Drosophila melanogaster: one gene and its partner. Changing the gene in region 1 together with any one later gene gives a genetic interaction. Each region holds a gene or a part of one and is shown on either strand. Other genes may lie near its edges. The genes, in order: Arr1 and Culd.

Region 1 (5,729 bases):
ACTGTTTTTTAACCTATTTTATAGAGGTACAGTTTTAAGCTTATCGTTTTTCTTTGCAGTCTGATTGTGGCCAAAAGTCTGGCTCCAGTTGGCCGTCGATTTTGCCAAACGACAATTGCACTGCATTCGGTGCCTGTTCTGGGCTCTTGGCCAAACTCCGCAGTTTGGTCCATGGCAATCGCGCTGATTGTGCAATGCAATTTGGCCGTCGACTTTGTCTCGCCTTGGTTAGGCAATTGAATTGCCCAAATTAGCTCTCGAGTGGACTGAAAGAGAAGAATGGTGGCAAACTGCTTCCGTGGCTTTTTAAATCGCTCCTGCTTTAAGGGGAATCCGGAAATTGTAGAAGTCTGAAGAGGTACTCTCGAAAATGGGTCAATACCACCCACAGCTAGCTCAATTGCGCACAAATAATAAAGTCAACCTTTTGTGGTCGTTTGCAATTTTATTGTATTGCTATAATCTGCCATATAAAGGATGGTTCAACAGACCACATATGAATTTGAGATGGTGATGGGTTTTCAAAGTATCCGTGTGATAAAAACAAAGCTTAAATAGTTTTTGCTTTAAACGCGTTGCACTTTAAAGAAGTCCTTAGAAGGTCAGCCATGCACTCAATAATATAGCTTTGCATTGTATTTCTAGAAAAAATGTCCTCTTTTAAGACAAGTGCTCATATTTCTGATATGAGTTTAGACCTATAGACGGATTGAATGTAAAAACTCTGAACGCTTTTCTAACAGAATCTTAAGAACACCTCATTTAGTAACATATTGCCATTTTTCAGGACAACACCGTGGCCATGCCTCCCGGAAAGTTCACTTGTAATGTATTTAAATGAGAGACATGCCCATAACCAGCGCCGTTTTCCTACTGGCCCACACGTCGTGAGTGCAAAAGTTTTGCTATTATTAAGGGCCTCATTGTCGGTTTTGTTGGACCCTTGGCGACTGTCCGCCGACACTTTCCCGCACTTTCCCGCCACATTTTCACACACGAAAAGGGGGGATGTAGTTGGTGGAAAACTCCGCCCCACTTGCTCGACTGTCCGGTCCCCAACCACACAATAAAGAACAATATATTTCACACAACTTTGTTCATATTTTTAATGTCAGGAGTATAATTATTACGTTCATTGACTTTGTTAAGTAGCCTACTTTATGCTAATGTGATTTCATAGCACAAAATGGAAATGGCAAATGGTGAGAGGGCCAGCAGCTTTGCATAGAATATTTTTACATAATTGAATGTGCAGGTCCTTCAACTGACAGTTACTGGTAAAGCTTAAGTTCTTATGTGTCATTATATATATACACATAACGTCTAGATTCGTTGGGAAAAATTGATTTAAATGTTTAATATAATTCAAAGAAGAATATTATTACATCTAGCTTGAAATGGGATCCTTCACCAATTATTTTGAAAATTCCGAAGCAAATACTTGGAATACTTGGAATTTATTAAGTACCTCGTTGTTATAACTAGTAGTTGTCTCCAGTTAACATAAAGCTATTATAAATGTCATAATAAACAACCGCTTATCAGTACTTAGCCGACGAGTGCTTAGGGCTCAATTAAATTAACAACAATTACGTAAATGGAAAAGAACAAAACCCACCACGTAATGTTTGGGTTTAAATACGTCATCCTAGGCGGAAAACAACAAACCAAAATACGCATACTAAATCGATTTCTCGAGCTATTTCTGTACATTCACCTGTCCTGCATTGCTAATACGCCGTGTTGCTCGCGCGTTATTTAATGTTTGAGCCATCGATGTCGATGTCGTGCTGCAATGTCAATATCAAAGACACTGCGCACAGCAAGGTTGCCGAAGCCGTAGTAGTTTACCGCCGTGCAATTGCTGAATTTCTGCTGTGCGGCTAATTGAATTTAGAGGGGCGACAGGTGCCACAATGCCAGGTATAAATGCCGGATTGCCAAAGAGCGCTAATTAATAGCCTAGTGGACCACGCAACGCGGCGTATACCATCGAGAACGAGCGCGAAACGTTAAAGGCACATCCAAAGTTTAAACTATTTCCGCAGAGATTTTGATAAACAGCTCCAAAATGGTGGTCAATTTCAAGGTGTTCAAGAAGTGTTCCCCGAACAACATGATCACGCTCTACATGAACAGGCGTGATTTTGTAGATTCCGTGACTCAGGTGGAACCCATTGGTAGGTGTCACAGACCGAAACCCTTGAGCAATGGGATTTACGAATGAGGAAATCCATCAAAAAATAAATTCGTGTAGGAATTGGTACCCATATTCGATTGAAGTATCTTATAGTTTGAAAATAACTTCAGTGTAACTTTTGTTTCAACTTAACACATTGGAATTTTTAATACCTTCCTTGAAAAGTGATATCAAATCAAAATTATATTATAAAAACTCCATTTCGAATCTGCATATGCCGACCAGCAAATATAAACTCAGGGAGTTATTCAAAATTGCATCTGAATTCAATAGCCCAGGGAGTTAAGTTAAATTGGCTGCGCTAGCAGCTAACCAAGTTCATCGATTACGCGAGCAAGCAAACCAAGAGGCTGGGCGCTTGTAAATAATATTCTCCAATTAATAAGCGTCCTCTTGCAGATGGAATCATTGTGCTGGACGATGAGTACGTGCGCCAGAACCGCAAGATCTTCGTGCAGTTGGTCTGCAATTTCCGATATGGGCGCGAGGACGACGAGATGATCGGTCTGCGGTTCCAGAAGGAACTGACCCTGGTCTCGCAGCAGGTGTGCCCACCCCAGAAGCAGGACATCCAGTTGACCAAGATGCAGGAGCGTCTGCTGAAGAAGCTTGGCTCCAATGCCTATCCCTTCGTGATGCAGATGCCACCAAGCTCGCCGGCCTCGGTGGTTCTCCAGCAGAAGGCCAGTGACGAGAGCCAGCCCTGCGGAGTCCAGTACTTCGTAAAGATCTTTACCGGAGACAGCGACTGCGATCGATCGCATCGCAGGAGCACCATTAACCTGGGCATCCGCAAGGTGCAGTACGCACCGACCAAGCAGGGCATCCAGCCCTGCACCGTCGTTCGCAAGGACTTCCTTCTGTCGCCCGGAGAGCTCGAACTGGAGGTCACCCTCGACAAGCAGCTGTACCATCACGGCGAGAAGATCTCGGTGAACATCTGCGTGCGCAACAACTCCAACAAGGTGGTGAAGAAGATCAAGGCCATGGTGCAGCAGGGCGTCGATGTGGTCCTGTTCCAGAACGGTCAGTTCCGCAACACGATCGCCTTCATGGAGACGAGCGAGGGATGTCCCCTGAACCCGGGATCCAGCCTGCAGAAGGTCATGTATCTGGTGCCCACCCTGGTGGCCAATTGCGACCGCGCAGGCATCGCCGTTGAGGGTGATATCAAGCGCAAAGACACAGCTCTGGCCTCGACCACACTGTGAGTAAAATTTATTCACATCATAGCTTAGCAGATGAAACATTAATATTATACTCTATTAAGTATCAACTTAAAATCATACCATAAAATCAATCAAATTTTAAAGTTAGGAACCTTTTTAAAAATCGTATTTTCCCGGTGACTAACAGTTCTTTAGCTAAATGTGTTTACAAAATGGCATAAAACGCATACTAATACTAAGTGAAAAATGCATATTTAAAATTCTATTTCAGTATTGCCAGTCAGGATGCGAGGGATGCCTTTGGCATAATTGTTTCATATGCTGTGAAGGTCAAGCTTTTCTTGGGAGCCCTGGGCGGCGAGCTCTGCGCTGAGCTACCATTTATTCTGATGCACCCGAAGGTAATAAAAGGTGTGCCCAAATATTTGAATAGTTATTGAAAGGCAATCAATTATTTACAGCCAAGTCGCAAGGCCCAACTGGAAGCCGAGGGCTCCATTGAGGCCTAAACTGAAAGGGCTACCTCAACCAACGAAAAAAATGGCGTATTTCTACAAGTCAAACCGATTTTTGTAGATCCTAAAAAATGCTGATGTTGCTGAAATGTTCTGAACTGCAGTCGTCGTACTTTTCCTATATAGCAAATCCAATATCCATATATTGTATGTGTGTATGTGTATTATATTTATAACTCAACTAACAATTAAATATGAACAGAGTTTATGTATGTATTTTGGAGTATTCTATTGAATTTAGCACGGTGTATTTGAAAAGGCTCCAGCATTGAAAGTTTGTATGGAATGCGCACTAAATATTTAATAATGTGCTTACGAAGGCATTTCGTAGTATTTGATATCTTGCAATGTCTGCTGATTATGTACATTGAAGTGCAATGGGGAAATCAACAGAAGCCAGTGCAATCTATTCAATTACTAATAGTGGGTCTTGCATTTGTGGCTTAGTAATTCCAATTATTGCTACTCTGAAAAGCCGAGGAGCAGCCTAATTAATACTTGGCCACTATGCTGGAGGAAGTTTACTGAACTGAATTCGAGTAAGGAAAATGGACAATAATTGATATAATATGGTGAGCTTCTTGCTGGACTTTGAAATCGTAAAATTTAAGCGAACACACTTCAAACGCATCCATTTAATTTGTGAATGTTTGCAGTCCCACTTTTAATAAGCACCCAATATTAACGATAACGCCACTCTAATCAAAATTTTCCAATAGTCAGGGTTGAAATACTGATCAATCACGCTGCCAACATTTCGGCAGACCAGGTGGGTAATGAGTTTAAAATGGTTTTGCGTAATGGGATTAATCGAATTTCATTAAGGAAGATTAGATTGCCGTCTTTGGAAGTGATCTTTTATAGTGGCTGACCATAAAAATTGCATTGCAAATACTAATTTAAGCATACATGCTATATAACCGATAAGATGGGCGAGCGTCAAGGCAAAAATAGTTGACCGTATTAATAGTTTAATCAACTAGCTTCAAGTTAATTTATAATGCGAATTAGGAAGCACTCTGGCATGCTATTAAAAACTTAAGAACTGATAAACGAAACTTAATTCCTAAAATAAAAATGTACCTAATTACTTTTATATACTATTATAAATAAAATTGTACCATGTATCGTTAAATTTGATTTAGTTACCAAGTGGTATTTGGTACGTGGCAGCATGAAATAGCTACTACTGCTAGTCTGGCTGATTAGCCAGCACTCTCAATAAACTAAGTGCAGCGTTTTGCATTTATCAGGATTTTTGGTACTCTAAACACACACTTAGATCCCAATCACCCCACAGAATAAGTTGAGCAAACCAAACCGAGCTGATTACCACAGTAGACATGATGATTAGCCGCTGCTTTATTTACTAGTGGATAATCTACTAAGCGACGCATGAATAAAAACTCGAGCGATATTTTTCCACTTTGCAGTCGCTCGAAAGCCTTTGTTTCGTCTCTCAATATGTGCTGCAGCTGCTGTGGGGTGACCCAACAAAAGGCCTGGGTCTTCGGCCTGGGAACCTTTTTCGCGGTCTCCGGACTCCTGGCCATAATATGCTGGCCTGGCTTTATAGACTCAGGGATTATGAAGGTGAGAGGCGGTGTATAAAAATAAAATTAAGGAGGAGTACTAATCGATTTATTAAAAAGGCCTTGCCGTTGACACCCACTTCAAAGACTTTTGAAAAATGGGAGGAGCTGCCCATTCCGGTGTATGTCTACATGTATCTTTGGAACTGGACAAATGCCGCAGATGTGCAGGCTAATGGAGTAAAACCTATTTTCGCGCAACTTGGACCCTATGTTTATCGAGAGGAGAGGAAGAAGATGGATCTTGAGTGGC
Region 2 (6,520 bases), on another chromosome or scaffold:
TCGCCTGTGCTTAGGACCCCAAAACCCATAAGATATCCATGGATAATGAAAGGATGTCCGCCGTGAGCGAGGTGAATACCCCAATACCGCAGCATTCAGACACAAATCCATTTTTCATGTAGCTAATAAGATTCCCATCCTGCCCTTCAAGCACTCAAGTGTGGTATGCTCTCCCGAACAGATGGCCCAGAAGATCAAAGCCGGTCCCGTTGTGGATGTCCTCGGTGACGAGATGACCCGCATCATTTGGGACTCCATTAAGAGCCAACTGATTCTGCCCTTCCTGGACATTGAGCTGCATACCTACGATCTTGGTATTGAGAACCGCGATAAAACCGAGGACCAGGTCACCATTGACTGTGCTGAGGCCATCAAGAAGTACAACGTGGGCATCAAGTGCGCCACAATCACTCCCGACGAGAAGCGCGTAGAGGAGTTCAACCTGAAGAAGATGTGGAAGTCGCCCAACGGTACCATCCGTAACATCTTGGGAGGAACCGTCTTCCGTGAGGCAATCATCTGCAAGAACGTGCCCCGTCTGGTGACTGGCTGGCAGAAGCCTATTGTGATCGGTCGCCATGCCCACGCCGATCAGTACAAGGCCGTCGACTACGTGGTTCCCGGACCCGGCAAGCTGACCCTCACCTGGAAGGGAACCGACGGTCAGGTGATCGATGAGGTCATTAATGACTTCAAGGGCCCCGGTATTGCCCTGGGAATGTTCAACACGGACGATTCCATTGTGGACTTTGCCCACGCCTCTTTCAAATATGCTCTGGACCGCAAGCTGCCGCTGTACATGAGCACCAAGAACACCATTCTGAAGAAGTACGATGGACGCTTCAAGGACATATTCGAGGACCTGTACAACAAGCAGTACAAGAAGGAGTACGAGGCGGCGGGCATCTGGTATGAACACCGTCTCATCGACGATATGGTTGCTTATGCCATGAAGTCGGAGGGTGGCTTCGTGTGGGCCTGCAAGAACTACGACGGTGATGTGCAGTCGGACTCCGTTGCCCAGGGCTACGGATCTCTGGGTCTGATGACCTCCGTGCTGCTATGCCCCGATGGCAAGACCGTGGAGGCTGAAGCCGCTCACGGAACGGTGACGCGTCACTTCCGCTTCTACCAGCAGGGCAAGGAGACCTCCACCAACCCCATTGCCTCGATATTCGCCTGGACCCGTGGCCTGCTGCATCGTGCCAAGCTGGACAACAATGAGCCACTGAAGCAGTTCGCCGACACCCTTGAGCAGGTGTGCATCGACACAATTGAGAGCGGCGCCATGACCAAGGATCTGGCCATCTGCATTAAAGGCAACATCAACGCCGTTACTCGCAGGGACTACCAGGAGACTTTTGAGTTCATTAACACGCTGGCCAAGAACCTGGAGGGTGCCCTGGCCAAGAATGCCGTTGCTGCCAAATGACTATCCGGCACTCAGTCCGAGCAGCAGGCCTCGCATCTCTAGAAAACTACTCAGCGATGCCTTGTCCTCGTCACCATATTCACAATATTTCCATTCGTTTTTGTAGATGTGCATGTCCTAGGCTAAAAATCCGTGTCCTCGATGCATGTTTCCCACTGTTTCATTGTCTCTGCGAGACGCAAAAAAAAACCCTGATTTCCCTTTAACGTCTAACGGAAAAGAAATTTCAAATAAATGTATTTTTATACCGGACTCGAGAGGTCTTTAACCCAGTCGAGGGTGGGCTCGTTACGAGGCCCGGTCCACTTGTGCGGCTTCTGATGGCTCTGGGTTTATTGGATTTGCCAGCGAAATGGCCACAGTTGTGTTCTAACACTTGGCGGCACCAGACCGAGACGGTTCAAGCGGAAGGGGCTCAGGATCCTGTTAGAAGGACGAAACTATCGATGCTAGCCGAAGCATTGGGCTATGGCTACCTGCTGGCCTACGTGATCTGCCTGCTCTGCTGGCCAGGAGAGGCGTATCCCGCCAGCAGTAGCTACCGGGATCTGGATATATGCAATCATTGGGACGGAAGACGTCACTTCCTGGAACTGGGAAGTCCAGCTGGAGAGGTGCACGCCAGGAATGTGACTACTACTGCCTATAGAGTAAGTGTATTTACAAGCTTCTCCAGACGGGATTTGGTCAGCAATTATGAACTTAAAAACAGAGCTCGCCGCTGGTTTTTAAGAACGATGCAGTGGCCGGGGATGTGTGGTACCAGTGCAGCCTGGAGCTGGTCACCTGTGCCGAGTGCGTCATCCGAGTGGCCTTCACCTATGCCAACTTCTCCAAAAGTTGCGGCAATACGGGTGGCAAGTCCAGCATGTGTCCCTGCGAGCATATCCAGTTCTCGGAGCCGCCCTATGATTCCACCATTTCCGGCCAAGAGTTCTGTGGAGATGGCAAGGTGTTTCGGAGCAAAACCAGGACACTGCAGTTGAAATTCTTCTACAGAGCCAGCAATGCGCACGTGTTCTCCCTTCAATACTTCTCGGAACGTAAGATTTAGAATCAGTTGGTAGGTTTTTAAGAATGCTCTATCCGGATTTCCCTCGGAATAGGCAACGTGCGGATAGTCAGTGGCTCCCCCAAGCAGTCTATTGTGGGCAATGGGAGTACAAAGTCCCAGCCACAAGTGATCTCCACGCCGTATTTCCCGATGGCATATCCACGCGACTATGGTATCGAACACATCCTCACCTGCGAGGCGGACAACTGCCAGGTGCGTTTGGATTTTACCGACTTCCAGCTGGGCCTCACCTCCACCCTAGAGATCTTCGACTCCAATGGCCAGATGCTGGACTCCTATACGGGTGAGCACTTCCGTCCGCCGATCACGGTGAGCAGCGGCAAGTCTCTGCTCCTGCAGTTTCGAGGAAATTCCGCCACCGGAGTGGGTTTTCGCGCGGAGGTTAGCTTCGTATCCTCCAAGCAGCTCAAGGACGAGCGACTGGTGCCCTACACAGGTAAGTGAATGGGTTGCAGTGCACTGAACAAAAACTAAGACTATCAAACAACTCAGATCTAAGGTTAAAACACAAATATTCCGCAGGATTAAAAAATTCGAGGTTTTTAAAAGTATAGAACATTATGCTTATCTTCATTTTAGAACTCGCAGATTGATTAACTTTTTAAATGGATTAGTATATCTTTTCTCTGTAGGAATAGGGACATTTTAATGATTTTCGGATTAGTCGAGCACTTGAAAGTCTGCAGGCAATTGTCATATTGATTTTGGCGAAGGTAGTGGGTGGGGTGGGCACTTGGCGAATATCAATGTCAATGCAAGGCGTTGAAGTGGAAACTGGGTGACTCTGGTTGGGTTCGGTTTGGTAAGACAATCGATTTCTTGGATCATTGCCCGTAGGGTGGTTGGCAAATACTTGTATATAATCCGGAATGGGGTTGGTTATGCACTATTGCGACAGGTTGGATCACAATGCATGATGCAAGAGCACATAAATAAATGCTTATGTACATATCTCTATTACACCTCTAGATTGCGGGGGAATGGTTACCGGACCTGGTGGCGCCATCACCATGATGAACATGATCGAAAATGCCACGGACGTGCGGCTGTTTGACTGCATCTGGATTATAAAGCCCGGCAACAACTACATGATGATGAAAACCCACATCTCGTTGAGAGTGGATGACTTCTACGGCATGGCCGCCAGATCTGAGCTCACAATACGGCAGGGCACCACCTCGGATGCCGTGGAGATCGAGAATGTGATGTGGCCGAACAATGGGCTGAGCAAGGAGAGTCATGTGGCGCCCATCCTCAATGGCTACTACATTCGACTGCGTGGGGTATTCGGGATGTCCTCCAAGCTGGCCATCGTCTACAGCGTGTTCAACTACTTGAGTGAGTTCGATTGGAAAATTTAAATTTAATGTTTAATTAACCAATTCGAATTGCTTAGATTGCTATATTGGCTCGGAGTTTCTGTGCGGGAACAATCACTGCATATCCATTCGCCTCCACTGCGATGGCTTCGACCATTGTGGGGATGGCAGCGATGAGCCGGATTCCTGCGAGGAGGACTGGGCACACCTGCATCACGATCGTCGCTGGTACTCTCACAAGCCCAACTATTATTTCCCCAAGATAGACCAGTATCCAGATCTTAAGACGGCCACGGGAATCTTTATCATCAGCACACTTGGCATATTTGGTGTGCTGTCCGGCTGGATGGTGATCCTGTACAGGATGGGGGTTAGAGCACGACACCAACGTGAGCTTCAAAGCCACCTGCAGACGATCAGTGAGCTGTTGGATCGCCAGGACGAGGATCGCACGCCCGATGAGCCACCCAGCTACGAGGCACCACCCGATTACGAGGAGGTCATCAAGGTAGGAATGCAACAGGAGCTACGGGAGCCACGTCGCCAGAGACGGGCCCGTCGAGCTCCGCCTAGAGATCGGAGCTGCAGTCGCGCCGCAAGCAATTGCACCGTGCAATCGGTACTCCCACTGCATCGCAGCTGCACCCTGGAAAGGGATCAAGAACAGCCCAGTACCTCGGCGGCGGCAATGACCCATGCGGTGGCTGCCACGGATACAACGGAGGATGCCGAACACGTCCAGACGATGGCCCAGCGAATGCTCCTCGCCACGGCTATTTGTGGTAGGTCGAGAGTTCCCCCAATCCCGCCCTGCAGTCGCTAACTTACCCACAGAGTCCCACTTGCAGGCACTGCAGGCACGTCTCTCCCGGCAGCAAAGGAGTCAGGGCAGCGGGTCCAATCCGTGGGGATTTCAACGAGCCCGTCATCGTTATCCGCTGGGGGTGAACTACCCACAGCAGGTGGGTCAGCCACAACGCCCGGCAGCACGGCAGATGAGTGCACCCAGGGAGGCGACTCACTTAGCATTTCACTCACTCTAGGCTTGCCCTCCACCACGGCAGAGAGTCCTGTGACAACCGACCAGAACCAATTGCAGAAACAAAGTCCGGAGCAGACAATCAGCAATTGCACGGAGCACACCTTCCTAAAGAGATCGTGGTTGGTGGTGCAACAGGTTCCACCTGGCAGGGGTTACCGTGTCCGGAGGCTGCGACATACCTTCTCCTCTCCTGAAGCATTCACTAGCGATGAGCTGCATCTGCCGTACCCGGATTTCCTGAGCTACGGCACTAATCTTCCACATGAACGGAGCAGTAGTAATTTCGGATCCGAGTTGTCGAGGGACCCATCGAGTTATAGTGTGGGCAAACGAGCTCGCTTGACGCCCGAGGACACAAGTGGATCGGAGACCATTACCCAGGAGATGGAGCAATCCAACCAGACACTCCAGTCCCATGTGATAGTGGAAAGTCACCCGAATCACAGCGAAAGTGAGAGCGAAGCGGAGCAGCAGGTGTCCTGCTTTGGAGCCGTAGCCCAGCGGCCCAAGAGGCGTCATCGGGGTCATGTGAGGAGCCGATCCTTTAGCAATGCCAGAGGTGGCAGTGCCGGAAGGAGGCGTCTCATGCAGCGCAGCTCGTCGGCCGATCTTTTGATGAACTACGCGACAATGGCGGTATCGACGCCACAAAAAACGAGCGAGGCAATGCAGCGATTGTTCTTCATCTGAGCGGGAGATTCAAAATGGAAGAGTGGACAAGTGGAACGATAGTATTAAAGCCTGGTGTGATTCTGGTCGGATTCTAGTCACATATAAATAAATAAGCCTGTTTCTTACTCGAATGTTATTAGCTTATTGAAATTCTTAATAAATAATTAACTTCAACTTCATCAAGACTTATCCAAAAGGTCGCAACGTTTGTATTCTTTATAATATGTACCATACCGCAAAAAGAAATGAATAATTACATTATGAATTAGCATTTTTTGTTAATTTATTTATTTATAGCCGTTATACGTGTAGCATTTGCCAGAGCAGATCAATATGTGCCCCAGATCAGATCACAAAAAACAACAACGAACATCCATCGCCCAAGATTCACTTCAACCCACTAATTGATCCGGGGCACATCCTGACCAGCACTGACTTTCGGGTGCCTCAAAGTGCAAAATAATAAAAATCTATTACTCGCGTATATATGGAAATCAAAATGCACGTTTTTATATGTATATATAGACGAATATGATAAATAATACCAGACGTAGTCAATGCCGTAGGTCTGCCTGCTATCCAGATCCTCCTACGTTGTAGCTGTATCGTTTCCTACTGCTGCAGCTGTTGCTTGAGATTCTCGGCTAGCGTTTTGCCAGTGTCCAGGGGCACTACTATATTGCGCAGACTATCGATGCTGTTGCGCAGCTTGGTGGCCTGGAATTTGCTGGGCAACTTCGGTGACCCTCCCACCGACGCAAATGCAAAGGTCTTGTACTCCTGGGCAGCCATTCGAGGGACCAAAAGATTCAAATTCAGTATGTTATATACACGGGGTTTTATTTGCAACGCAAAATATCAATAAAATCATAAGCAACCCGGGTTTTAGGGTACTAACAGAAACAGCAGAGGGGTTCAATGCCTGCATAGAGTCGACTAAATAAAGATTCTCAATGTGTGTCATGGTGTGAGGTTAAGCG

Evidence for each region.
Region 2: of Arr1 (region 1) and Culd, changing one suppresses a phenotype caused by changing the other (phenotypic suppression), as found in Drosophila melanogaster (one study listed by BioGRID).

Annotation. Positions count from the first base shown.
Region 1 is NT_033779.5:18,076,317-18,082,045, forward strand, and holds Arr1 (arrestin 1), read left to right. Parts: upstream 1-1,952; 5' UTR 1,953-2,071; coding exon 2,072-2,180; intron 2,181-2,332; exon of another isoform or gene 2,333-2,414; coding exon of another isoform or gene 2,415-2,481; intron 2,482-2,599; coding exon 2,600-3,407; intron 3,408-3,640; coding exon 3,641-3,770; intron 3,771-3,830; coding exon 3,831-3,878; 3' UTR 3,879-4,991; downstream 4,992-5,729. Other genes in the region: ninaD (neither inactivation nor afterpotential D), read left to right, coding at 5,349-5,477, 5,537-5,729. UniProt on the Drosophila melanogaster protein: Regulates photoreceptor cell deactivation. Arr1 and Arr2 proteins are mediators of rhodopsin inactivation and are essential for the termination of the phototransduction cascade.
Region 2 is NT_037436.4:8,351,567-8,358,086, reverse strand, and holds Culd (CUB and LDLa domain), read left to right. Parts: upstream 1-1,790; 5' UTR 1,791-1,878; coding exon 1,879-2,082; intron 2,083-2,144; coding exon 2,145-2,475; coding exon of another isoform or gene 2,476-2,486; exon of another isoform or gene 2,487-2,538; coding exon 2,539-2,943; intron 2,944-3,476; coding exon 3,477-3,845; exon of another isoform or gene 3,846-3,903; coding exon 3,904-4,608; coding exon of another isoform or gene 4,609-4,649; exon of another isoform or gene 4,650-4,660; coding exon of another isoform or gene 4,661-4,674; coding exon 4,675-5,558; 3' UTR 5,559-5,732; downstream 5,733-6,520. Other genes in the region: Idh (isocitrate dehydrogenase), read left to right, coding at 15-71, 152-1,432; GAPcenA (GTPase activating protein and centrosome-associated), read right to left, coding at 6,153-6,320.